Macaca mulatta: one gene and its partners. The protein of the gene in region 1 interacts with the protein of each later gene in a pairwise test. Links are inferred from orthologs where the notes say so. Each region holds a gene or a part of one and is shown in the gene's direction. Other genes may lie near its edges. The genes, in order: CREB3, VKORC1, FDPS, ACSF2, TMEM234, TMEM203 and RHEB.

Evidence for each region.
Region 2: the proteins of CREB3 (region 1) and VKORC1 interact in a two-hybrid assay, tested with the Homo sapiens proteins (2 studies listed by BioGRID and IntAct). The two-hybrid records come from large-scale screens. The link is inferred for Macaca mulatta from reciprocal best matches to the Homo sapiens genes CREB3 and VKORC1.
Region 3: the proteins of CREB3 (region 1) and FDPS interact in a two-hybrid assay, tested with the Homo sapiens proteins (2 studies listed by BioGRID and IntAct). The two-hybrid records come from large-scale screens. The link is inferred for Macaca mulatta from reciprocal best matches to the Homo sapiens genes CREB3 and FDPS.
Region 4: the proteins of CREB3 (region 1) and ACSF2 interact in a two-hybrid assay, tested with the Homo sapiens proteins (2 studies listed by BioGRID and IntAct). The two-hybrid records come from large-scale screens. The link is inferred for Macaca mulatta from reciprocal best matches to the Homo sapiens genes CREB3 and ACSF2.
Region 5: the proteins of CREB3 (region 1) and TMEM234 interact in a two-hybrid assay, tested with the Homo sapiens proteins (2 studies listed by BioGRID and IntAct). The two-hybrid records come from large-scale screens. The link is inferred for Macaca mulatta from reciprocal best matches to the Homo sapiens genes CREB3 and TMEM234.
Region 6: the proteins of CREB3 (region 1) and TMEM203 interact in a two-hybrid assay, tested with the Homo sapiens proteins (2 studies listed by BioGRID and IntAct). The two-hybrid records come from large-scale screens. The link is inferred for Macaca mulatta from reciprocal best matches to the Homo sapiens genes CREB3 and TMEM203.
Region 7: the proteins of CREB3 (region 1) and RHEB interact in a two-hybrid assay, tested with the Homo sapiens proteins (2 studies listed by BioGRID and IntAct). The two-hybrid records come from large-scale screens. The link is inferred for Macaca mulatta from reciprocal best matches to the Homo sapiens genes CREB3 and RHEB.

What each region holds. Positions count from the first base shown.
Region 1 is NC_133420.1:63,961,932-63,966,070, reverse strand, and holds the start of CREB3 (cyclic AMP-responsive element-binding protein 3), read left to right. Parts: upstream 1-1,339; 5' UTR 1,340-1,719; coding exon 1,720-1,848; intron 1,849-1,941; coding exon 1,942-2,092; intron 2,093-2,163; coding exon 2,164-2,231; intron 2,232-2,345; coding exon 2,346-2,435; intron 2,436-4,066; coding exon 4,067-4,139. UniProt on the Homo sapiens protein: Endoplasmic reticulum (ER)-bound sequence-specific transcription factor that directly binds DNA and activates transcription. Plays a role in the unfolded protein response (UPR), promoting cell survival versus ER stress-induced apoptotic cell death.
Region 2 is NC_133425.1:29,731,042-29,735,250, reverse strand, and holds the start of VKORC1 (vitamin K epoxide reductase complex subunit 1), read left to right. Parts: upstream 1-1,409; 5' UTR 1,410-1,463; coding exon 1,464-1,636; intron 1,637-2,763; coding exon 2,764-2,873; intron 2,874-3,306; coding exon 3,307-3,390; intron 3,391-4,209.
Region 3 is NC_133406.1:111,664,803-111,668,302, reverse strand, and holds part of FDPS (farnesyl pyrophosphate synthase), read left to right. Parts: exon of another isoform or gene 1-405; intron 406-1,875; exon of another isoform or gene 1,876-3,062; coding exon 3,063-3,143; intron 3,144-3,288; coding exon 3,289-3,411; intron 3,412-3,500. UniProt on the Homo sapiens protein: Key enzyme in isoprenoid biosynthesis which catalyzes the formation of farnesyl diphosphate (FPP), a precursor for several classes of essential metabolites including sterols, dolichols, carotenoids, and ubiquinones.
Region 4 is NC_133421.1:59,531,465-59,535,332, reverse strand, and holds the end of ACSF2 (medium-chain acyl-CoA ligase ACSF2, mitochondrial), read left to right. Parts: intron 1-1,174; coding exon 1,175-1,326; intron 1,327-2,429; coding exon 2,430-2,571; intron 2,572-2,658; coding exon 2,659-2,769; intron 2,770-2,962; coding exon 2,963-3,031; intron 3,032-3,265; coding exon 3,266-3,316; 3' UTR 3,317-3,368; downstream 3,369-3,868. UniProt on the Homo sapiens protein: Acyl-CoA synthases catalyze the initial reaction in fatty acid metabolism, by forming a thioester with CoA. Has some preference toward medium-chain substrates. Plays a role in adipocyte differentiation.
Region 5 is NC_133406.1:208,667,128-208,669,578, forward strand, and holds the end of TMEM234 (transmembrane protein 234), read left to right. Parts: intron 1-802; coding exon 803-895; intron 896-1,200; coding exon 1,201-1,259; intron 1,260-1,553; exon of another isoform or gene 1,554-1,624; coding exon 1,625-1,738; coding exon of another isoform or gene 1,739-1,755; 3' UTR 1,756-1,765; exon of another isoform or gene 1,766-1,864; 3' UTR 1,865-1,951; downstream 1,952-2,451.
Region 6 is NC_133420.1:5,248,848-5,252,015, forward strand, and holds TMEM203 (transmembrane protein 203), read left to right. Parts: upstream 1-1,151; 5' UTR 1,152-1,360; coding exon 1,361-1,771; 3' UTR 1,772-2,668; downstream 2,669-3,168. Other genes in the region: NDOR1 (NADPH-dependent diflavin oxidoreductase 1), read right to left, coding at 472-549, 872-1,006. UniProt on the Homo sapiens protein: Involved in the regulation of cellular calcium homeotasis. Required for spermatogenesis. Acts as a regulator of STING-mediated inflammatory signaling in macrophages.
Region 7 is NC_133408.1:190,942,373-190,946,478, reverse strand, and holds the start of RHEB (GTP-binding protein Rheb), read left to right. Parts: upstream 1-1,306; 5' UTR 1,307-1,357; coding exon 1,358-1,409; intron 1,410-4,106. UniProt on the Homo sapiens protein: Small GTPase that acts as an allosteric activator of the canonical mTORC1 complex, an evolutionarily conserved central nutrient sensor that stimulates anabolic reactions and macromolecule biosynthesis to promote cellular biomass generation and growth.

The sequences.
Region 1 (4,139 bases):
GAATAAAGATGCTGGAATCCCAGATGCCTGCAATAAGCCAGAACACTAGCCTGAAATTAGTTTGTTATCTCTCTGGGTGAAAAGAAGCCCCTGTAACTACACAGGAATAAAGGACTTCCCTACAAAAGAAGGGCATTTACCTACTGCCAACCTCTTAAATTTCATCTGCTCAAGGCCAACTATGCTAGCCTCAATTACAACCCCTAAAGTTGCCCCAAATTCCTAACATTAACCCCACCTCTAATTTGTTTCCTGATTCCCACTACCGGCTTGGACATTCATCCCTTTCCCAGCAGAGACTCATATCCAATCCCTGATCCCTGATACTGATCTAAGTTTTACCTTTAGCACCAAATCGCCTGATGTTAACCCTAAATGTTGACCCCTAAGCCTAAAGTTCATTTGTAACTTGATTCCTAACTCACGCTTTCACTGTTTATCCTTAATACCGACCATGTCAACATTCTTTAATCCCTCAAACAGGCTCTAACCTGATTCCTGTTGTTGACCCTTAACCCGACCCTGAACTCAAATTATGACGTATGATGGCCATCCCAGCAAACAAAATAATGACCTTAATCTAAACCTTACCTACCTAAAACGGACCTGACTCACACTACTAACTCTTAAGTTTTAACCCCAGCTTTTAACTCCTATAGCGACCCTTGATTCCTAAACGGACCCCACCTAATCCCCAACTCACCCAAAGCTTTCCTACCCACATGGCCGCTATCAGCTAACACCAAAGCCCGTCCCCGTCCTGCGCCCCGCTGCTACCCGACTCCTCACGCTCCCCAAAGCCTATCCCAGGCAGAGGACTGCCCCCAGGAGAGGCCTGTCTCCCCTAAGACGGCCTACTTCACGATGAGCCCAAGTTGAGATGCGCTGGACGCTGACCTCTCCAACTAACAGGACCCGAACCGGACACGCAGGAGAGGCAGGGCCCCGCCCGCCCCCGGGGCCAGGCTCCGCGGCCCCACCCTAAGGCCCCCGCCCGGCCCGGTCTGGCCTACCTGCGCTGCCCGGCTCTGCGCCCCGCCTGCCGGCCCGCCGGCCCGCTGCCCTGCCGCTTCTCGGGTCGCCCTCGGGCTCCGGCCTCGCCCTCCCTTCGACACTCTCTCGGCCACTTCCGTCCTGGGAACGTCCCCCACCCGCGGGCGGCGCCCTGGGGCAGCGCTCTATGGTCGCGGGGGGCAGGCAGGAAGCTGCTCTGGCCGCGTTCTCGATGCTCGGGGGCCGCCAAAGGCCGGCAGCCCCTCCCTGGCAGGAAGCGAGGGTGCGGCGCAATCCGGAGAGAACGCCAAGACGACGCCCGAGTTCCCTTTCAGGCCAGAACTCTTCCTTTTTCTAGCTTGGGGGAGAAGGCGGAGCCGGAGCCCCGGAACCCCCGCCCTCGGGGTGCGAGGCGGCAGCAGGGCCGTCCCCTACATTTGCATAGCCCCTGGGACGTGGCGCGGCACCCAGGCCTCTTCTCAGTTGGAGGGAACTCCAAGTCCCACAGTGCCACGGGGTGGGGTGCGTCACTTTCGCTGCGTTGGAGGCTGAGGAGAATTGAGCCTGGGAGGCGGGTCCGGAGAGGGCTACGGAAAGCCCCCGGCCGGGAAGCCCGGCCGTAGAGGGACAGTGGATAGGTGCCCGAGGCCTACAGCTGGCCTGGGGCTCGTGTCTGGGCTTCGGACGTTGGGGCCCGGTAGCCCACCCTTTCCGTAGTTGTCCCAAATGGAGCTGGAATTGGACGCTGGTGACCAAGACCTACTGGGCTTCCTGCTAGAGGAAAGTGGAGATTTGAGGACGGCGCCCGATGAGTCCGTGAGGGCCCCACTGGACTGGGAGCTGCCGCTTTCTGAGGTGCGTTGGGGTTCTGACTGGGGAAAGCGTGGGATGTCCATGAGGTCAGGGGATGGTGATAGGTCAAGGCCTGTTCACTGGAACCCTGCGCAGGTACCGAGCGACTGGGAGGTAGATGATTTGCTGAGCTCCCTGCTGAGTCCCCCAGCGTCGTCGTTGAACGTTCTCAGCAACTCCAACCCCTGCCTTGTCCACCATGACCACACCTACTCCCTCCCACGAGAACCTGTCTCTATGGATCTAGGTGAGTCTGAAATAAGTTTGGGGGGAGGACAGGGTTCATGGGCCTGGCTATTCATACGTTCCCTTTTGCAGAGAGTGAGAGCTGTAGAAAAGAGGGGACCCAGATGACTCCACAGCATATGGAGGAGCTGGCAGAGCAGGTACTTGACTTGATTTTCAGGATGATTACTCTCACATTCCTCAGGTGGGGGCAGGATTCCCCATTCCTCTGTGACATCCCCATGCAACTGCCGCCCACTTTCTGGTTACCCTAGGATATTGTTAGGCTGGTACTGACAGATGAGGAGAAGAGTCTATTGGAGAAGGAGGGGCTTATTCTGCCTGAGACACTTCCTCTCACTAAGGTAAGACTCTCGTTAGTTGAGCAAAGGCTGAAAAGGGATTAAAAGTCTCAAGTAGGCCAATTCTGTTAACTTTATATCAATAACTTTAAAAAAGGATTGAGGTGAGAAACTTAGCAGATTTATTGCTAATAGGAAGTTGAGGCAGGTACCCAATATGCTAGATGCAAGGCAGATCCTCATTTTCGTTGGGCTTACACAAATTTTGGTGTTCTGTTAAAAAACAAACAAAAAAAACCCTCAAAATTATCAGTGCAACATTAGTATTGGGCCTTGGAAAGGACTGTGTAAGTGAAGGGCCTTGACACTTCATTGGCTTCATAGTAATCCACCTCTTGCTGAATGGTAGAACTGTTTAGAGAGTTCAACACGATTGGACTAAGCAGTACATGAATAAATGCAAAATCCTTAGTTTCCAGTTTTAAGCAATCAGTGGCAACTTCACAAGCAGAGTACTGGGATACTATGATGAAATCAGTGCTCATTAATAGAAAAGTTCCAGGAATTTTTTTTTTTTTTTGACAAGGTCTTGTTCTGTTGCACAGGCTGGAGTGCAGTGATGTGATCATGGCACACTGCAGCCTTGAATTTCTGGGCTTAGGTGATTCTCCCACCTCAGCCTCCTGAGTAGCTGAGACTACAGGTGCACACCACCCTGCCTGGCAAATTTTTTTTTTGGTGTTTTTAGTAGAGATGGGGTTTTGCCTTGTTGCCAGGCTGGTCTTGAACGCCTGTGCTCAAGTGATCTACCCACCTTGGCCTCCAAAAGTAAAGAATTTTAATTCCTTCAAAGTACAAGATGAGTCAGCAGTGCGATGTGGCTACTAGGAAAGTTAATGGGATTTGGAAACTGTAGCAAGAGTTATTGTCTCCACAAGTCACTATCTTGCTTTCCTTTATACTGGCTAGAGCACATCTTTGACAGATACTAAGAAGATGCAGTCTATCCTAAGAAGATGAGTTAAAATTTTTGTCTAAGCTGTTTTTTTCTTGAACTTTTTTTCTCTGAGGAAATGTCAAATGCCTGAAAATAGCTAAACAGGGTTCATTCTATTTGGCCCCAGAGATACTAGGTAAGTCCAACGTATAGAAATTATAAGGAGACAGCTGTTGGTTCAGGATAAGGAAGTTTTTGTTTGAAGACAGATTCTTGCTTTACTGCCCAGGTTGGAGAATAGTGGTGAGATCATGGCTCACTACAGCTTTGACCTCTCAGGCTCAAGCGATTGTCCTTCCTCAGCCTCCTGAGGAGCAGGGACCACAGGCATGTGCCACCACACCCGGCTAATTTATTTTTAGTAGAGACAAGGTCTCACTGTGTTGCTCAGGCTGGTCTCAAACTCCTGGGCTCAAGCGGTCCTCCTGCCTTAGCTCCCCAAAGTGTTGGGATTACAGGCATGAGCCATGTCACTTGAATATTGCCTGACCAATTTTTTTTTTTAATAGTTTAAAATGGTCTGGCTTGTTAGGGTTAACACATGGTCCGTGGAGGCATTCAGAAAGAATGTGAATGCCTATTGGTCAGGGAAGCTGTAGAAGGGATTTCTGTATTGGAAAGAGATGGATCTCAGTTGCCTTTCAACTTCTTGTTCTAGAGTCCCTCTAATGATACCCCTTTCCTTGTTTCCTTTCAGATGGAGGAACAAATTCTGAAACGTGTGCGGAGGAAGATTCGAAATAAAAGATCTGCTCAAGAGAGCCGCAGGA
Region 2 (4,209 bases), on another chromosome or scaffold:
GCACCTGTAGTCCAAACTACTCGAGGGGCTGAGGCAGGAGAAAAACGAACCCTGGAGGCGGAGGTTGCAGTGAGCCGAGATGGCACCTCTGCACTCCAGCCTGGGTGACAAAGTGAGACTCCGTCTCAAAATAAGTAAATTAATAAATCAATAACCACTGGGTCTAGCGTCTTGGTGACACCAGCCACTAGGTGTCAGGGCAGTGCTGGAGGCAGCAGCTAGTTTATGGCGTGGGCAGTGAGGAAGAAGTGAGGAAGTAGAGACTGGGAGTGTAGAATCTTTCCAAAAACTTGCCTGTTAATGCAGGGAGGGGAGGCTGCTGAAGGACCTCTTAGTGAAGGGAGATGTGTTGCTGTTTCTGAGATGGGAAAGAGAAACAAGTTGCAATGTAGATGGGGAGGACGGAGAGGTTGAAGGTGTAGGAGAGATGGGTCACCATCAGATGGGATGTCTGTGAAGGAAAGACCTCAGCAGGCCCACAGCTTGGAAAGGAGAGACTGACTGTTGAGTTGATCCAAGCTCAGGTGTTGTCAGGCAGGTGCCATGATAGTAGAGAAGTTAGGATACTGTCAAGGGTGTGTGTGGCCAAAGGAGTGGTTCTGTGAATGTAAGGGAAAGACCCACCAGCAAGAAGCGCTGGTGAGGCAGGACCTGGGAGGATGCGAGGCTGCAGCCCGAATGGTGCCTGAAATAGTTTCAGGGGAAATGCTTGGTTCCCGAATCGGATCGCGGTATTCACTGGATCCCCTGATCCTCTGGTCTCTAGGTCCTGGATGCTCCAGTTCTTACAACAGGACTTGGCATAGGGTAGGCCCAAATGCTGTTAGCCACATTAACGCAATTTTTTTTTTTTTTTTTTTTGAGACAGTCTCACTCTGTCGGCCAGGCTGGAGTGCAGTGGCACGATCTCGGCTCATTGCAACTTCCGTCTCCCCAGCTCAAGGAATTCTCCTGCCTCAGCCCCCAGAGTAGCTGGGATTACAGGCGTGTGCCACCATGCCCGGCTAATTTTTGTATTTTTAGTAGAGACGGGGTTTCACCATGTTGGCGAGGCTGGTCTCGAACTCCTGACCTCAGGTAATCCGCCAGCCTCGGCCTCCCAAAGTGCTGGGATTACAGGCGTGAGTCACCGCCCCCGGCCAAAACAGTTTTTAAATCTCTGGAGACGTCATTTCCCTTGACGCCTTGCAGCCGCCCCGACTACAACTCCCATCATGCCTGGCAGCCGCTGGGGCCGCGATTCCCCACGTCTCTTACCCGCTTCACCAGTCTGGGCGTTCTTAGCGGTTTTCCTAACTCTCTCGCCTGACTAGCTCCCGGGAACAGCCGTTTGGATCGCGGAGTGCGAACCCGGCCGGCCAATCGCCAAGTCAGAGGGGCAGGAGGGGCGTGGCCATTCCCCGCCCCGCCCCTGCTCCGTGGCTGGTTTTCTCTGCTGGCGCCTCGGACGGAACCTGGAGATAATGGGCAGCACCTGGGGGAACCCTGGCTGGGTGCGGCTCGCTCTTTGCTTGGCCGGCCTAGTGCTTTCGCTCTACGCGCTGCACGTGAAGGCGGCGCGCGCCCGGGACAGGGATTACCGCGCGCTCTGCGACGTGGGCACCGCCATCAGCTGTTCCCGCGTCTTCTCCTCCAGGTGTGCACGGGAGTGGGAGGCGTGGGGCCTCGGAGCGGGGCGGCCAGATTGCCAGATGATTATTCTGGAGTGTGGGATCGGTGTGCCCAGGGAACGGACAAGGGGCTGGACTGCTCGCGGGGTCGTTGCACGGGGGCTGAGCTACCCAGAGATACTGGTGTTCGAAATAAGAGTGCGAGGCAAGGGACCAGACAGTGCTGGGGACTGGGATTATTCCGGGGACTCGCATGTGAGTTGGATGCCAAGGAATAACGGTGACCGGGAAAGGCGGGGAGGCAGGATGGCGGCAGAGATTGACGATGGTCTCAAGGACGGCGCGCAGGTGAAGGGGGGTTGGCGATGGCTGCGCCCGGGAACAAGGTGGCCCGGTCTGGCTGTGCGTGATGGCCAGGCGTTAGCATAATGACGGAATACCTAGGAGGCGAGTGCGTGGCCAGGGAGCTGGAGATTCTGGGGTCCAGGGCAAAGATAATCTGCCGCCGACTCCCAGTCTCTGATGCAAAACCGAGTGAACCGTTATACCAGCCTTGCCATTTTAAGAATTACTTAAGGGTCGGGCGCGGTGGCTCACTCCTGTAATCCCAGCACTTTGGGAGGCCGAGGCGGCTGGATCACTTGAAGTCAGTTTACCAGCCTGGCCAACATGGTGAAAGCCTGTCTCTACCAAAAATAGAAAAATTATCCCTGCGCTATTGCAGGCTCCTGTAATCCCGGCTACTTGGGGGCCTAAGGCAGGAGAATCACTTGAACCCGAGAGGCGGAGGTTTCAGTGAGCCAAGATCGCGCCACTGCACTCCAGCATGGGCCACAGAGTGAGACTCTGTCTCAAAAAAAAAAAAAAAAAAAAAAAAGAATTACTTAAGGTCTAGATGAAAAGCAGGGCCTACCAAGTAGCCACGTCAGGCCTGGTCTGGGGAGAGGGGAGGATAGGGTCAGTGACATGGAATCCTGACGTGGCCAAAAGTGTCTGCTGACTGGAGGTCATCGACCCTTGGTCTAGGATAGGAGGTGGGGAACAGAGGATAACCCAGGTGGCTTCTTGGAAATCACCTTTCCGGGGTAGGGTCCAAGGCACTAGGTTGACATTCCTAACCTGGTTCCACCCCCCCACACCACCCCTCTGCCAGGTGGGGCAGGGGCTTCGGGCTGGTGGAGCATGTGCTGGGACCGGACAGCATCCTCAATCAATCCAACAGCATATTTGGTTGCATCTTCTACACACTACAGCTATTGTTAGGTGAGTGGCTCTGCCCCCTCCCTGCAGGCCCCGGCCCTCATCCCCCTTGGTCAGCTCAGCCCCACTCCATGCAATCTTGGTGATCCACAGCTGATAGCCAGCTAGCTGCTCATCACGGAGCATCCTGCAGGTGGAGAGGTGGGGAGGTAACTAACAGGAGTCTTTTAATTGGTTTAAGTACTGTTAGAGGCTAAAGGGCCCTTAAAGACATCCTAGGTCCCCAGGTTTTTTATTTGTTGTTGTTTTGAGACAGGGTCTGGCTCTGCTGCCCAAACTGAGGTCTAGGATGCCCTTAGCGTGCACTGGTGCGATCTCAGCTCATAGCAACCTCTGCCTCCCTGCCCAAGTGATCCTCCCACCTTAGCCTCCCGAGTAGCTGGAATCACAGGCGTGCACCACTATACCCAGCTAATTTTTGTGTTTTTTTTGGTAGAGACAGTGTCTCGCCATGTTGCCCAGGCTGGTCTCAAGCAGTCTGTCTGCCTCAGCCTCCCAAGGTGCTGGGGGGATTACAGGCATGAGCTACCATGCCCCACCAGCACCCCAGTTTTGTGGAAAAGATGCCGAAATTCCTTTTTAAGGAGAAGCTGAACATGAGCTATCTTTTATCTCATTTAGTGCTCCGCAGGAAAATTTGTATCTGGTCCCAGGAATTATTGAACAGATAGGGGAACCAAGGGAGTGGGAGACGATGGCGCCCCAGGCCTTGCTGATGCCATACCCTGGAGATGAGACTACCTATTACCACCCTTCCCAACAGGCCCCCACACTCCCTTTGAGTCACCCTTCCCAGCTCCAGAGAAGGCATCACCGAGGGAGGCCCAGCACCACGGTCCCTGGCTGACACATGGTTCAGACTTGGCCGATTTATTTAGGAAATTTTATTGCTCAGAACTTTCCCTCCCTGGGCAATGGCAAGTTCCTTGGAGGGAACCTGTCAAAGCCTTTTTTTTTTTTTTTTTTTTTTTTTTAAGAAATCATCTTGCTCTGTTGCCCAGGCTGAAGTGCAGTGGCACAATCATAGCTCACTGTAATCTGGAACTCCTGGCTCAAGTGATCCTCCTGAGTAGCTGGGACTAGAGTTACATGCCACTGCACCCAGCTAATTTTTATTTTATTTTTTATTTTTTGAGACATAGTCTTGCTCTGTCACCAGGCTGGAGGGCAGTCGCGTGATCTTGGCTCACTGCAACCTCTGCCACCCCGGTTCAAACAATTCTGTGTCAGCCTCCCGAGTAGCTGGGACTACGGGCGCGTGCCACCACGCCCAGCTCATTTTCGTATTTTTAGTAGAGAGGGTTTCACCCTCTTGGCCAGGATGGTCTCAGTCTCTTGA
Region 3 (3,500 bases), on another chromosome or scaffold:
TCCCAAAGTGCTGGGATTACAAGTGCGAGCCACCGCACCCGGCGTTTTTAAAAATTTTTAATTTTTTTTTTTTTATTCAGAGTCTCACTTTGTTACCCAGGCTGGAGTGCAGTGGCATGATCTTGGCTCACTGGAATCTCTGCCTCCGGAGCAAAAGCCACCCTCCTACCACCTCAACATCCCAAGTAGCTGAGACTACAGGAGCGAGCCTCTACCTGGCTAATTTTTTTTTTTTTTTTTTTTTTTTTTTTAATAGAGACTAGGTTTCGCCATGTTGCTGAGGCTGGTCTTGAACTTGTGGCATCAAGTGATCCGCCCATCTCGGCCTCCTAAAGTGTTGGGATTACAGGTGTGAGCCACCGCGCCTGGTCTAAATTTTTTTTTTTTTTTTTTTTTTGAGACGGAGTCTCGCTCTGTCGCCCAGGCTGGAGTGCAGTGGCCGGATCTCAGCTCACTGCAAGCTCTGCCTCCTGGGTTTACGCCATTCTGCTGCCTCAGCCTCCCGAGTAGCTGGGACCACAGACGCCTGCCACCTTGCCCGGCTAGTTTTTTATATTTTTTTTTAGTAGAGACAGGGTTTCACCATGTTAGCCAGGATGGTCTTGATCTCCTGACCTTGTGATCCGCCCGTCTCGGCCTCCCAAAGTGCTGGGATTACAGGCTTAAGCCACCGCACCCGGCCCTAAATTTTTTTTTTAGAGACAGAGTCTCACTCTGTTGCCCAGGTTGGAGTGCAGTGCTACAGTCATGGCGTACTGTAGCCATGACCTCCTGGGCTGAAGCCATCCTTCCACCTCAGCCTCTCAAGTAGCTGAGACTGCAGGCGCCCGCCACCATGCCCGGCTTTTTTAATAGTTTTTTTTGTAGAGATGGAGTCTCACTTTGTTGGCCAGGGTAGTCTTGAACTCCTGGGCTCAAGTGATCTGCCTGCCTCGGCCTCCCAAAGTACTGGGATAACGGGTGTGAGCCACTGTGCCTGGCCTGGGTTTTTTTTTTTTAATTTTCCCTAATAAATAGAAAGTGCTGGTGGGGTTAAGAATCAGTGCTAGGAGGCAGAGGAAATGTGGGGAGGCCATGGAATTAATTCTCTTGGAGACCATCATGGTTGAGTGGTGGTGGCCAAAATGAGATTGTCCTTGCAGTCACCCTTGGGAGAGGCCGTGAATGGGTGGCTTCAGGGAAACCATGCTACTCCAAATAAACACAGAGTCAATTAAACATGTGCCTTTGATGTGGAAAGCTCAGGACCTCCACACTACTCTTCTGGGGTTAGGTCAGAGGTAAAGGTGCAGATGGATACCTCCTTCCCTGAGGACTCTGCCTATGACAATAGCAGTGGTTGTTGCAACGGTCCTTTCCCCACGGCCCATGCTGGGTTCTGGCAGGCGGTGTTGCATGCTTCCTTTGCAATGTGGATCGACTACAGCACACAGGATTAGGATGGGATGAAGTCTTAAAAACCATGTCTTCTAGGCCAAGTGTAGTGGCTCATGCCTGTAATCCCAGCACTTTGGGAGGCTGAGGTAGGTGGATCACCTGAGGTCGGGAGTTTGAGACCAGCCTGACCAACATAGAGGAACCCCATCTCTACTAAAAATACAAAATTAGACCAGGCACGGTGGCTCATGCCTGTGATCCCAGCACTTTGGGAGGCAGATCACTTGAGGTCAGGAGTTCAAGACCAACCTGCCCAACGTGGCAAAACCCCATCTCTACTGAATGAAAATACAAAAATTAGCCAGGCTAGCAGTTGGTGGTGGCGGGCGCCTGTAGTCCCAGTACTTGGGAGGCTGAGGCAGGAAAATCACTTGAATCTGGGAGGAGGAGCTTGCAGTGAGCCCACGTGGCGCCACTGCACTCCAGCCTGGGCGACAGAGTGAGACTCTATCTCAAAAAAAAGAAAAGAAAAGAAAAGCTATTTAAGGAACCAAAACATATAGTATGACTGACTGCAGGAAGTATCACAGGGAATGTTAGAGTGTTTTATTCTTGAATTTCTTTGTCAGACAAGTGTTTAGGAGACTCTCACTCCAGGCCTAGTGCTGTGCTAGGCTCTGCAAATGCTAAGAGGGAGAAGTCACTGTCCCTGCTTCCAAGGAGTTCATGGTCTAGTGGGAAACCCGATACGTTCAGGTACCTTCAGATGGGCACTCAGAAGAGTAAGCCGTTAGTTAAAATTAATGTTAAAAAATGTTTAAAGATGTCTGAGACTCATAGGTCAAAGTCAGATTTCAGTTCCACCTGATTAACCTGTACTGCTAAGGAGCTCCTTTAGGTAAGGCTGTGTTCCTAGTCACTGGGGTGTTCAAACACAGTGCTGGGGGCAATGTGGGAATAGCCTTCTTTTATTTAGGAAGTAATGGAAAGTCAATCACACAAATAAATCTTACTTTAAGCATTCATTGAGGTGTTTGGCAAGAATAGAGTACGGTATATGAAGGTGTTTCCTAATCTCCCTGATACCAGGCCTAATCTAGGGCTCATTAGAGATGTCAAAGATCTGTTCTAGTTTCTTACCTAAAACAAGAGTGTTTTAGTTCCATTTTATAGGCGAGGAGTCTTAGCCAAACAGGTTATGTCACTTTCCAAGTCTCCATAGCATAGAAGCCTTCTGCCTCCCCACCCTGACTTTCCCAGCTCATAGGGACTATCAAAAGCAGCAGCTGTGGCCGGGTGTGGTGCCTCATGCCTGTAATCCCAGTACTTTGGGAGGCTGAGGCAGGAGGATCATTTGAACCCAGGAGTTCAAAACCAGCCTGAGCAACATAGTAGGACCCTGTCTCTACAAAAAATAAATTGGAAAAAAAAAAAAAAAGTCAGGCATGTGGTGTGTGCCTGTGGTCTCAGGTACTCAGGAAGCTGAAGTGGGAGGATCACTTGAGCCTGGGAGGTAGAGGCTACAGTGAGTCGTGATTGCACCACTGCACTGGATAATGGTGATACTCTGTCCCCCACCAAAAAAAAAAGCAAAACTATATACAGATGTAGATATAAAGTAGCAGCTCTGTTGCTGATAGAAGGAACAGTAATGAGCCCTGCAGGTCTTATTCCACTCTTCCTAGCTGCAAGCTTTCTTCCTGGTGACAGATGACATCATGGATTCATCCCTCACCCGCCGTGGACAGATCTGCTGGTATCAGAAGGTAATGGTGGGCAGGAAAGTAGCAGTGGGTATGGGGACAGGCCACAGGGAGGTGGTATGTGCGGCCTGGTTGAGGTGTTGGGATGATGGCTCTTAGTATGAACCGAGACTAGAGATTGATTGCTTGTTTTTCTCTGTCATGATAGCCGGGTGTGGGTTTGGATGCCATCAATGATGCTATCCTCCTGGAAGCATGTATCTACCGCCTGCTGAAGCTCTATTGCCGGGAGCAGCCCTATTACCTGAACCTGATCGAGCTCTTCCTGCAGGTATTGCTGCAGACAGGGCCCGATGCCCAGAGGGTGCCCATGGTAGCCTTGGCCTTTATAGGACATGCTCATCTGGCTGGTTTCAGGGT
Region 4 (3,868 bases), on another chromosome or scaffold:
CTCCCCAGCAGCAGCGGTGTGCTAGGCCTGGCCTGGAGCGTTCTCTGTGGGCTAAGCATGAAAGGGGGAAAGCTGGAACGGTGGCTGTGAGCCGCTGCCAGCTGAACTTCTCCGCAGCCTCCCTTCCTGTCTGAGGTGTGTTTTTGCCAAGCCCACTGTCTGTTTCAGGGCAGCCAGGGTAGCCTCAAAGAGAAGCCAGAGCACAGAGAGTTTTCCTACATAGCTTCTTTTCCTCCAGTGGTCCCCGCCTCTCGCTTTAGCAGAGTTTCTCTTCTTGCTTGGCATAAACACTTCATTTCTCAAGCAGCCTATCCCTTTAGGGGGGTCCCTTTGCCCCTCAAAGGTTGCCCCAGAGTGCATCTCAATCTTAAACCCCAGCCATGCCTCCTTTCCTGCTCTAACACTGGGGCTGTGCCAGCTGGCTCCTGATTTCCCCTGCACCCTTCTGCTCCCACCCCTGGGGGATTGCTGCCCCTGTGCACAAGTAGCTGCTTCTGCTGGTGCTGACCACTATCCTGGTGTGAATATGCCCTGCCCTCCCGCCAGAGCAGCCCTGTACCCAGGGTTTGAGTAGGGATGTGAGCCCCCTCCCGTGTGTCCTACAGCTGCACTGCCATTCTCACTAGGATGCTCACCTGGAAGGGAAACAGGGGCAGACATCACTTACCCCGTTTCACAGATGCAGACACTGAGGCACATGGAGGCTCAGCTTTCCTTGGCACAGTGGCCATGGCTCTTTGCTCTACCGGACTTTCAGACTCTGCCTCTCCTATTCACATGGTGTTGCCGTGCCTTACCCTCTTTGGCTTATTTGCTGTTTAATGGGAAGTAAGAGGAGACTCCCTTCTCCTCTCCACAGTTTATAATTCTTCAGCTGGCTCTGCAGTCCACAGACCTCTTTCTTTGCAGCAGCTGCCTGCCTGCTCTGTTTCCTCAGCACTCCCAGCTTTGGCCTCAGCTCTTCTTTCATGCCCAGCTCAGGTCTCTGACTGGCTTTGGGTCGACTCTAGCCTTTGTCTCCCTTCTCTGGATGGGGATAGGCAGAGCCAGGGGGCCTCATTCCAGGTGCTTGAGTTGGGGGGTTGAGAGCAGGCAAAGCTCTCTCCATTTCCGAGGACCACCTATGCTGAAGCAAGAGGACAGGAAGCCCCAACCTGAGGCTGTCCTGTCCCAGGCCCGGATCATGAACATGGAGGCGGGGATGCTGGCAGAGCTGAACACGCCCGGGGAGCTGTGCATCCGAGGGTACTGCGTCATGCTGGGCTACTGGGGCGAGCCTCAGAAGACGGGGGAAGCAGTGGATCAGGACAAGTGGTATCGGACAGGGTGAGAAGGCAGGGCGGGGTGGAGGCTCTGGCTGCTGAGGGGAGGCTGGAGGTCTTGAGGCTGAGCCGGGAACATTAACCTGGCACCGTGAGGATGTGGGTATCAAGATGACCCCTCACATGCTGGAGACTTAATTTCCAAAATGTATATGGTGGGGATGATCATACATAGCACAGAAGAAATCAACTGGGTCATCATCCTACACCAGCAGCTGCAAAAGCTGAGTCCAGATTCAGTCACTCATACTCATTTGTTAGCTCAGCAAATTCTTATTAGAATTCCTTATGTGCTAGCACTGTTCTCACCGCTGGAGGTCCAGAGGAAAGTAAGATGAGAAGGATCCTTTTTTTGGAGGAAGACAGATGATGCCTGACATCGATAAATAACACCAAGAAAATAGGCTAGGCACAGTGGCTCACACCTGTAATCCCAGCACTTTGGGAGGCTGAGGCGGGTGGATCACATCAGGTCAGAAATTCGAGACTAGCCTGGCCAACACAGCGAAACCCCACCTATACTAAAAATACAAAAATTAGCCAGGCATGGTGGCGCGTGCCTGTAGTCCCAGCTACTCAGGAGGCTGATGCAGGAGAATCGCTTTAACCTGGGAGGTGGAGGTTGCAGTGAACTGAGAACGTGCCACTGCACTCCAGCCTGCACGACAGAGCAAGACTCCATCTCAAAAACAAACAAACAAACAAAAAACACCAAGAAAATAAAATAGGGTTATAGGAGAAAGAGTGGCTGTGGTGGGGAGGGGAGCTTCCCTTAGGTTGAGTGGACAGAGAAGATGTCAGGAGACATTTGAGTTGAGACCCGGAAAGAAGCCAGCTGTGAAAAGCATATGTATAGATATGTTGAGAGAGAGAAAGAGAAAGAGAAAGAGAGAGAGAATATGTTATAGGTATTGGTTTGTATTTGTCTGCCTCCCTTCCCCTTACTAGACTATTAATTCCAGAAACTGTGTCTTGTTCCTGCTATGTCTCCCAGAGTCTAGAGCAGTGGAAGACACACAGTAGGTGGTCAATAAATGTTTCATGAGTGAGCAAGCAAGTGAGTGAACAAGGCAGAGGTGACAGGTCACCCCTGGGCTTTCCTTACAGAGATATCGCCACAATGAACGAACAGGGCTTCTGCAAGATCGTGGGCCGCTCTAAGGATATGATCATCCGGGGTGGTGAGAACATCTACCCCGCAGAGCTCGAGGACTTCTTTCACACGCACCCGAAGGTGCAGGAAGTGCAGGTGAGGCACCCGGCTCAGGTGAGCCCCCAGAAACAGGAAACACACATGAACCAGGTGATGTCTGATACTTTTCCCTGGCCCTGGAAGGTCGTGGGAGTGAAGGACGATCGGATGGGGGAAGAGATTTGTGCCTGCATTCGGCTGAAGGACGGGGAGGAGACCACGGCGGAGGAGATGAAAGCTTTCTGCAAAGGGAAGGTGGGAGCCTCCGCCCAACCAAGCTGATGCTGCTCGGTTCTTTGTTCGCCCACTCCTCTGCCAACCAGCCTGGGGTGGGGGCTGCTCTGCCCTCGACGAAGCTGACTCCCGGCCAAGCCAGCCCCGGTCCCCTTCCCATACCCCTGTGAGCTTGCCCAGCCTCACGCCTTACCTCCCTCCCTCTGGTCTGCAGATCTCTCACTTCAAGATTCCGAGGTACATCGTGTTCGTCACAAACTACCCCCTCACCACTTCAGGAAAGGTGTGTAAGGTGAAGGAGACTAGGGAGGGCAGCCTGGGCTCTGGGGTCCCATGGGGCCCCACCTCTGTTTGCTTCAGCAATGGGTGTGGAGAGGCTGGCAGTAGGGTGACCAAGTCACCTAATCCTGGTTTGCCTGGGGACTTTCCCTGTTTTGGCACTAAAAGCCTGAGAAACCCCTTATTCTTGGGCATACCAAGACAGTTGGTCACCCTAACTCCTTTTTCTTTCCTCTAGATCCAGAAATTCAAACTTCGAGAGCAGATGGAACGACATCTAAATCTGTGAATAAAGAGGGAGGAAGGGTCTGCCCAGGCCCTCCTCCTGTCCATCCTCCGTACTCCCCTTGTCTGTCCTTGTGATTTGGCATAAAGAGCTTCTGTTTTCTTTGGCCTCTTGCTGGTGGGCTCTCTTGGCAGCTCCTATGGGATGGAGAAGGGAAGACACTGAGGGAAACTAGCACTTTCAGACCTCCTATTCCTTGTCATTGAGAGTGCAGAGCACCTTGATGTGGATTATCTACTTAATTTAACCCTCACCCTTGGTATCCCTTTGAGATACCAACCCATTTTTGTTGTTGTTTTTTGAGACGGAGTCACCCAGGCAGGAGTGTAGAGGTGCAATCTCAGCTCACGCAACCTCTGCCTCCCAGATTCAAGTGATTCTCCTGTCTCACCCTCCCACGTAGCTCGGATTACAGGTACCCACCACTACCCCCACTAATTTTTGTATTTTTAGTAGAGGCGAGGTTTCACCATGTTGGCCAGGCTGGTCCTCAAACTCCTGACCTCAAGCAATCTGCCTGCCTCAGCCTCCCAAAGTGCTGGGATTACAGGCATG
Region 5 (2,451 bases), on another chromosome or scaffold:
GAGCCACCGCGCCCGGCCAACTCCATTACTCTTTTTCAAGTTTGCTTATTGGCAATCAGCCCCTTGGAACTTCAGAATTAAGGAACAGATCCTAGGCTATGATGCCCTCTACCCACACCATTGGTCCAGCCGAATGTCCTGAACAGGCCCTGGCTTCTTCCTTCTGACGCTTTTTATTTTTAACTCCATAAGGCCTGAGCTTGGGCTGAAACAGAAACAAAATGTGCTTCACCTGATGTTCTGCTTTGTCTGTATCCACAGCTCAGTAACAGCGCAGGTTTTGGAGTCAGGCAAGCCTTAGTTCAAATCCTCAACTTGCCTTAGTTTATGTGACTTCTTTGAGCCTTTGTTTCCTTTATGCAAAATGGTGATAATCCCCTTCTTGCAGTGTTGTGAAAATTGAGATATGTACACAAAGCACCCAGGCCATGGTATTACAATAGTGGCTGTGCTTGGTGTTACTTGACTCTCTACTGCATCCTTTGGGATTTGGGTGCCTGCCTGTCTGTGCAGATGTCCTTGAGATCTCACAAGTTCTCTCTGAGTGCAAAGACCTCATTCTCATTATCAAACCAGGCTGGTCCCAGACCTCAGAGTTCAGGTCTTCATGCTGGAATCCTGGGAAGCACTGAACGTGGAGTCAGGAGATGTGGGTTTGAGTCCTGAGATTTGCTGTGACTTCAGCTGGAAGATGGGGTTATGATACCTTTTTTAAAGGTATGAAACGATGATAATGGAAGTGTTTTGTGCCTAGAAAGGCATTTGTTGCATCTCAGGCATTCTTTCCATTCTGACCACCCAGATCTGACCCTAGCTGTGCCCATCTGTAACTCTCTGGCCATAATCTTCACACTGATTGTTGGCAAGGCCCTTGGAGAAGATATTGGTGGAAAACGTAAGTCAGGCTACTGCGAGTGCAGGACTCAGCTCTTTGGACATCGACATACCTGTGTTAGTTCCTTCCCAGAACCCATCTCCCCAGAGTGGGTGAGGGCACGGCCTTTTCCCATCCTGCCCTTTCCTCTGCAGCTGTTCTGCTTCCTTGTGGCCTTCAGAGTTCCCTTGCCCTGGACAGTTTGGGGACAGAGGCTGGGGCGGGATTCAGGACCAGACCCCATCTGAGCCCTTCCTCCAGCCCTGTACCAGCTCCTACTGGCCTGGCTAAGCTCAGACCCCCTTGATTTCTGCCTATTATCCCAGGAGCAGTTGCTGGCATGGTGCTCACTGTGATAGGAATTTCACTCTGCATCACAAGCTCAGTGAGTAAGACCCAGGGGCAGCCGTCTACCCTTTGAGTGGGCTGAACCCACCTCCAGCTCTGCTGCCTCCAGGAAGCACCTGGGCCATGAAGTGCTGGCAGTGAGTGGATGGACCTAGCACTTCCCCTCTCTGGCTTCAGCTTCCTCCTCTCTTACGGGGATAACAGCTACCTCATGGATCACAATAAGAGAACAAGAGTGAAAGGGTTTTGTAACCTTCAAGTGCTGTTCAGCTGCTGGGATTTAGCACAGGAGACTCTACGCTCACCTTCAGCAACCTTTCTGCCCCAGCAGCTCTCTTCCTGCTGACATCTCAGGCCCCCAGCCCAGCCACCATTACTGTGGCCTGATCTGGACTATCACAGTGGCAGGTTCCATGGACTGCAGAACGCCAGCTGCATGGAAAGGGCCAGCTGCAGACTTTGAGCCAGAAATGCAAACGGGAGGCCTCCAGGGCTCAGTCAGAGCGCCTTGGCTGAATGAGGAGTGGAACTGAGGGGAAGAAGGTACATCGGAGTGGCAGATGCAGATGAGCTGTCTATTAGCCTTGCCTGCCTCACCCATGAGGTGGGCAGAAATTCTCACTGCCAGCCCCTCTTAAACAGGTAGACAGCTGTGAGCCCCAGCCCCACCTGACTCCAGCGCCCAGCACACCTGGCGAGTAGTAGCTGTCAATAAATCTGGTAAACAGAGGTTAGTAAGTATTCTTTTATTGTGACAAACCCGCTCCCCCGTTTGTAGCCTGTCCCCCAGGCTCAGTCAGCTACTCCTTTCTGTGGCTAGAGAATCCCATAAGGAAATAGCCCCCAAGCCAGGGCTGCTCTGCTCAGAGGAAGGGAAGGCTGGGCTGTGGGTTTAGGAACAGGAGAACTGGGAGGGCTGAGGAGGCCGCAGTGTACCCTGTGAGCCCAGGGGAGGTGCTGGCTCCTGAGGAACAAGCTGCTGGAGGCTGAGGACAAAAGGTGGCCAGAGTGGTGGTCCCCAGTTCCCCTCTGGAGCTGCTGGCTCTCAAGATGGCAGAGCTGGGGCTGAGGCTGAGATAGCAGCTCCAGCCCCAGGCTGGTTTTCCAGGGACAGGGCCTCTTCCGCTATCTGTGCTGCCCTCTGGAGGAGGTGGAAGGCCACACAGAATGGAGCCGTGAGTATGGCCAGCCTCTAGCTCTCAGCCATGAGGTCCCCGACCCCAAGGAAG
Region 6 (3,168 bases), about 59 Mb from region 1:
TTCCCCAGCTGCAGGTGTTCGCTGGCACTGTCATTGCCCATTAGGTGCTTCTGCTACAGTATGAACTCTGCCAGGACAGAACTATGGCACTGGGTTCACAGCGGGATCCCCAGCACCAGACTGTGCCAAGAATGGAATATGTGCCTAAAAGATGGTCAGAGAATTCAGCAACGTTCCCTGAGAGTCATACAGTCTAGAAATACACAGAAGATCCAGACTAGATGCACATATAGATAGCCCTGGAAAGATAAGAAAGGTTAAAATGGATAATAAGGCTATTTGGTGGCTATGAAGCGTTTATTAGAGAGAGCAACTGGAGCCCCCAGCTCCACTCAGGGACGTCCTCTCAAATCCACCTCTGAAGATGCATGAGATAGAGGAGAGCTATTTACTGCACCTAGACTCCAGGCAATGAAAACGGGATGAGGGTCGAGGGCAGGGATCTGAGGAGCCACATCAGGCCAGCCTTACCTTCATGTTGTCAGGGGGGTCTCCTTGGCCTGTAGTTGCACAAACAAATATCACCAGGGGCTCGTTAATCAGATTCACCTCAACAAAAAGACACACACACGTAAGACCTCCGGCTGTAAGGACTGGGCGTCCTTCCCAAAACTCGACCCCCTTCTCCTTCACTCAGGCTGACAGGGCAGAGGAATTTATGTGAGCGGCCAGACCGTCTTCTCTTTCAGGTTCCAACCTCCTCCAGGTGCTAAACTGAACTCCTCTTCCCAAGCCTCCCCTTTCCCTAAATCCGCCATAAGGGAAAGACCCGCTCTCAGAGATAATGCGACGCCTTTTGGGTCGATGACCCCGAGAAGCGGGCACGCCAGGCCTGTTTGTCCCCCACGCCGAGGCCCTAGCTAGCCCTCACCACCGGGTAGGAGTCCAGGGCCTGCACCCGGCAGCCAAGCCGCCGGCGCCGGGCCTCGCGACCCAGTCTCTCCGACACATCCTGAGCCGTGCCTGTCTGGCTGCCAAAGAGCACCAGAAACTGCGGGTTCGGCATCTGGACGCGCCCGGCTCCAGGTCGGAGACTAAGAACTAGAAGGTAGATCCCGCCGGCCGGGATACAGGGACCGCTCCGCCTTCCGCCGTCGACCGGAAGTGACGCACTAGGGACGCGCCCGGTGGGGCATGGCGTCCGATCGAGGCGGGCGTCCACCGGCGGCCAGGGTTGAGTCCCGGGTCGGGGCCAGGGCATTGCCGGCGCACCAGGGCCGAGGGCTGGGGGTGGCGGGGCCGCTCTCTGCCTCTCGCTCGCAGCAGCGGCGGCAGGCGCGGGCGAGGGCCACGGGGAGAGGAGACGCAGCCCCGCGGGTGGCACGCTCGGCCGGGTCCCGGCCCGCGCTCAACGGGCGCGATGCTCTTCTCGCTCCGGGAGCTGGTGCAGTGGCTAGGCTTCGCCACCTTCGAGATCTTCGTGCACCTGCTGGCCCTGCTGGTGTTCTCTGTGCTGCTGGCACTGCGTGTGGATGGCCTGGTCCCGGGCCTCTCCTGGTGGAACGTGTTCGTGCCTTTCTTCGCCGCTGACGGGCTAAGCACCTACTTCACCACCATCGTGTCCGTGCGCCTCTTCCAGGATGGAGAGAAGCGGCTGGCGGTGCTCCGCCTTTTCTGGGTCCTCACGGTCCTGAGTCTCAAGTTCGTCTTCGAGATGCTGTTGTGCCAGAAGCTGGCGGAGCAGACTCGGGAGCTCTGGTTCGGCCTCATTACGTCCCCGGTCTTCATTCTCCTGCAGCTGCTCATGATCCGCGCCTGTCGGGTCAACTAGCCTCACCGAGGTGCCGGAGAGGGAGCGCTGGACGGCTAGAATGCTGACCTCAAGCCGAGGCCCTACTTGCGCCGCACCGGAGGAGAGGCTCTCTAGTCTAAAGGCAACTCCTGCTTGCGCCGAACTGAGTGCCCGGTTTTCCTATTTCAATCCTGCCTGAAATGGTTTCTTCAGCAGGGTTTAAAAGAGCAGCCTTCATCCTGAAAATGTATTTCTTTTTATTTAATGCTTTGAGTAGATAATCCTGAATTGAGGTCCTGAGGAGGCCCCCAGGCCAGGCAGTCCTGAACCCCTCTGACACTTGGAAGCTGAATATAAGTAAAATGTCCCGGTGGACTCTGAGTATTTCCTGTGGATCCTGGGAAAGTACTGTTGCACAGAGGCTGCAAAGCTGGACTCAGGAATGTCCTCCAACCAGCAGCGCTGACCTGAGAGCTCCCTGTGCCGTCCATCCAGACCAGACTTCGGTAGATGCCTTTGTTAGATCAAATGTAAACCAGCTTGTATCTCCCCTGTGCCACGAGAGATTGGCTTTTTATTCCAGTCTAGGCAGAGAGAGAAGAATGTTGAATAAGAGCACGATTAGGGTCCTGTCTGGTTATCTCTTGCCCACGAAAAGAGCTCTGCTGTCCAGGCACTGCTTGGTTTCCTATCCCAGCGAAGACTGCAGTTCCGTGGACCTTTTCACCACCTTGTGGCTGGCACTCTTAGCACACCTGAGACAGATTTAAGCCTCCCTGAGAGACTGAAGAGAGGAACAGGTGTCGGATACTCATAGGCACTGAGACCTACAAATGGGAAACTTGTGAGTGGCCCAGCTTTGTTGGCCTATGAACTTTGGTTTGATGCCAGTCAGGTGCCAAATGAGAACCTTTGCTGAGATGCAAATAAAGTAAGAGAATGTTTTCCTGAAATGAATAGTGGTTGCCTGTACCCCTCAAAGGTTAAATGTGATGAATATTGAGATACTCTCTGCTGCATGGTGTAACTGGTTACAGAGCTGCAGTTTCAGATGGGTTGAAACCTGTGGCTAGAGCTTAGTGGATGGTGGTGGTGGTGGGAATCACTCGTTCTGGAGAATCCCTCCTTCCTGCTCTAGGAGGCCGGTAACTCAGGCACCCGCCCCACCCTGTGTGAAGACAACAGTCTAGGCTCACGTTGAAGACCCGTTGAATAGTTTGTGACCCCAGAGCCCGTGACTTCTTGCCAGTGTGTGGTATTGTGTGGGCCTTGGCACTCTGTAGCGCGGGGATCAGCAAACAATGTCCTAAGGCCTGTTTTTGTGTGACCCTTGAGCTGAGGATGGTTTTTACACCCCTAAATAATTAAAAGCAGGCCGGGTGCGGTGGCTCACGCCTGTAATCCCAGCACTTTGGGAGGCTGAGGAGGGCGGATCA
Region 7 (4,106 bases), on another chromosome or scaffold:
GAAGGGCCATGCCCGGCCTCTGCAGGTCCCCACTGCCAAACAGCCTCGGCAGAATAGGGGCGGGTTCCCCGGCGCGGCGGAGCCTCTGCTAACTCGGCAAGTGCCAAGCCCACCAGCAGCCACCACTCCGGGCCTGCCTGGAGGCTCGTCCCTCAACGGCACCTGCGTTCCCGGCCCGGATTCTCTTCCCGCGCCCCTCTGCACTGCACCCCTGGGAAGGCTGTGCCCACACCGCGGCCCGAGGCGTTCCTGGCACCCGGCTCCGGCCTGCCCGCCGCACCAGCCGCCCTGGCGCTGGCGGAGAACCGGCTTCCCGCCCCGGCGTTGTTCCAGGATGTGCGCCGAGCTCCGCGCGAAGCGAAGCAGACACCAGAACTGACGAGGCTCGCCCTGTTTTTAATGAAATTCCTAACACTTTGAATTAACGCAGACTCCATGCTTCCCACAGTCCTTCGGCCGTGGGTGACGCTTAGTCACCACTACATCCTCAAACCCAGACACGAACGCTAACGCAGCTCAAGGGGAATTTTCAAAAAAGCCCCGAGGGAGGAGCTAGCCCAACCACCGCCCGCCCCGGCCACGAGCCTCGCGCCCTTCACGGGCTCAGCGGGCGCGAACCCGCCAACCGCTCAGCTTATCACCAATCACCGCACCTCCCACCTATTGCCCCGCCCTGCGCTCCGTTCCGGCCAATCACCGGGGAGCCACCGTTTGTCTCTCCGCCTCTCCCGCCCGCCCCCAACCGGTTGGAAGTTTGAAGCCTTCAAACCTCGCCGGCGCCCAACCGCGCTGTAGCAGCGCGGTGTATTTTTAGCTCCTGGGTGGCCAGCCCCGCCTCCTCCGCCCCGCCTCCTTGCCTCCCCCAATGGGAGATGGAGTTTCTGACACGTCATCGCGCGGCTGTGCAGGTGCCGTCCAATCGGCGCTCGGGGAGAATGGCGTAATTAAAAAGCGGCGGAAGAAGGTGGGAGGGTCATGACGCAGCGAGTTTCAGTCGTGACTTTTCTGGGGGCATCGCGGCGTCCCCTTTTTTTGCCTTTAAAGTAAAACGTCGCCCCGACGCACCCCCGCGTATTTCGAGGGGGCGGAGGCGGCGGGCCACGGCGCGAGGAGGGGCGGTGCTGACGCCGGCCGGTCACGTGGGTGTGTTGTGGGGGGAGGGGCGCCGCCGCGCGGTCGGTTCCGGGCGGTTGGGAGCGCGCGAGCGAGCGAGCGAGCGAGCTAGAGGCAGCCGCGCCCGCCGCCGCCCCTGCTCTGTATGCCGCTCTCCCCCGGCGCGGCCGCCGCCGATCGCAGCAGCAGGAGCCGCCGCCGCCGCGGTTGATGTGGTTGGGCCGGGGCTGAGGAGGCCGCCAAGATGCCGCAGTCCAAGTCCCGGAAGATCGCGATCCTGGGCTACCGGTCTGTGGGTGAGTGGCCGGTGGTCGCGCGGCCTCCTCGCGCCGCCGGGGCCTCGCCTGGAAGCCGGGTCGCTGCCGGGCCTGCGAAGTTTGGAGCCGGCGCGGCCATGTGGCGGGGCGGGCGGGGGCCGCGCGTTTCGTAACCACCATTTTGAGCGGAGGTGGTGGCGGTCGGGGCGGCGTCCGCACCGGTCGAGGAGCTGCGGTAGCCGGGCGCCCTCCGCGGGCCGGGCGGGCAGGTGGCGGCCGGGCGGAGGGCGTGGGAGGCGCGGGGCGGGGGCCGCCGGCCGCCGAGGAGTCCGGGGCTCGTCTGGGGAAATGAGGCGGCGCCAGGGAGCCGCGCTAGAGGCTCCCGCGAGGAAGGAGTCACACCTGCCTCCCCGCCTTCGCCGCGGGCGCGCGTGACCGGGGCTGGCGGTCTCCCCCACCCCGCCCCCGATGCAAGGAAAAGAAAGTCCGTGGGATTTTAACAAAGGAAGCAGCACCTCGGCTTCATTCCATCTGTGGTGAAGTTTACCCTTGTAAAGAAAACTAGGGACTTAGAGAACGTTTGGTCTCTGGACGCAAGTTTTGTACATAGGAAACCTAGGCGAGCCCCCAAAAGAGGCCCCTCTGGAGGCCCTGGAGATGCTGCTGGCGGCCCGGGTAGGAAGGCAGAGAAAAAGGAATGTCTGATCTCTCAGTGGCCTATATTTCTTCGGGAAGGAATAAGGTCAGGTACTTGCAACCACGCTGTTGAAGTAATTCCGAAGTCTTTTTGTTTTCTTTTTCTTCCCCCAAAAGGTTGACGTACATTTGAAACGGTTCCTAGCGTCGCCTTACTGCTGAATAAGGTGGCTTAGGGTCGGGTTGGGGGGCGGACGGGGTGTCACAGAACAAGCGGTTTTCTGGCCTGTGAGAAACCGGAGCGATCGAACTTAGACACGCTTCAGGGTGAGGCTGTATTGTCTGCCGACATCCGGAAGCCTGGAGAAATTACGTTCATCTTTTCGGGCTGTTTTGAAGTAACTGTCTATAGAAGACGTGCGCCGGGCCACATTTGGGGGGATGGGGAGGTGAAAGCGAGGGTTCAAAGGCTCCGGTGATTGCGGAACGGGGTGACAGCATGTGTCGTGGGAAGCTTGTACCTGCCAGCCGCTCGCGGGATGCACTCCCCAACTGCGCTTTCCACCGCCGGTGCCAGGGTCTGTGCTCTTTGACCAAGATCAGCCACTGCATGCTTACTCATCCTTTTACTACCTCTCCGTCGAGAGCTGGAGGAAGTCAAGGGCTGAGAGAAGCTTGGCTAGAGATGCGGGGTGCCCAGAGTCGTAGGGGGAACTCTTGTGCGATGCGGTGCTGCAGCCAGGAAGTAACCACGAATCAAATGGAGGGGTTCAAAGTCACTAACTGTTCAAATATCTACATGGAACCTGGGATCCAACCTTTATTGGCAGCCTGAATCCATGCTCTTGTCTCTGTTCTCTTGATTTCCTCCTCTGCATTTTGAGGAGTTGGGAGCGCGAGGTGTCCTGGCTCTTGGGTGAGCCCTCCCTAGTCAGTCAAGTAAGTACTTATTGCCAACTATTTGAAAATAGCCCCTGAATAATCACATTATGGTCAAGTACCTCGGCTACTTGATTTCAACCCAAGAGAATGACCTAAAGATCCTGACTGATTTACCCTTTTAAAATGTTGAAATGGTAGCTCTAGTCTTTGGTAAGCAGGGCTAGTTTTATCACTTTTTGGTGGGTTTTTTTTGGTTGTTTTTTTGTTTTTTTGTGTTTTTTTTGCTAAAGAAGTTCCTTGTGTCCAGTTGAAATCCATTCTGTTTTATCTTCCCCTCTATTCAGCTTCCTCCTGAGGACGGAGATGTGACAGGACACCCCTTAGCCGTCTCTTCACAAGCATTATTTTAAAGTGCTGCTTGTTAAATACTGTGCTAACTTAGTCTTCGGTGGGTTACAGGGTCACTTTTAGTCCCTATTTTGTGTCTTCAGTATTTCATATTTCTGCAACCTACCCCACTTCTCCATACTTATTTTCAAGCGTAGTCATATTAAACGATTTTGGAGAGGTTAAGTTGCTCCCAATCTTGTATTTGATTTTTTTTTTTTTTTTTGAGACAGAGTTTGGCTCTTGCCACCCAGGCTGGAGTGCAATGGCGCGATCTTGGCTCACTGCATCCTCCACGTCCAGGGCTCAAGCGATTCTCCTGCCTCAGCCTCCAGAGTAGCTGGCACTACAGGCATGCACCACTACACCCGGCTGATTTTGTATTTTTAGTAGAGACAGGTTTCACCACATGGCCAACCCTCAGGCTGGTCTCAAACACCTGACCTCAGGTGGTCCTCCCACCTTGGCCTCCCAAAGTGCTGGGATTATAGGCGTGAACCACCACACCCAGCCCCATTTGATTTTAAAGTGTATTATGAGCCGGGATATTTTGTAGTTTGTGGGGTCTTTTGCAGGGGAAGGAGATTAGGTTTTGCCAGCAGGTTTCGTCTAGTAAGCCACCCTTTTGAGGATTACTCAGCATGCTCACTTCTGGGAGCTTGCAAATGGTGCTATACCAGAGAAATCTGAGCACATGTGTTTCTAGATTGTGGTCTTTTGTGATGCTGAGCTGTTTTCTCCTATATTCTGGGGGTAGAGCCATAGAAAAAGGCTCCACATCTTTCTTAGAATGTTCTCTTAAGTACATTAAACCAGTTTGACTAGTAGGAT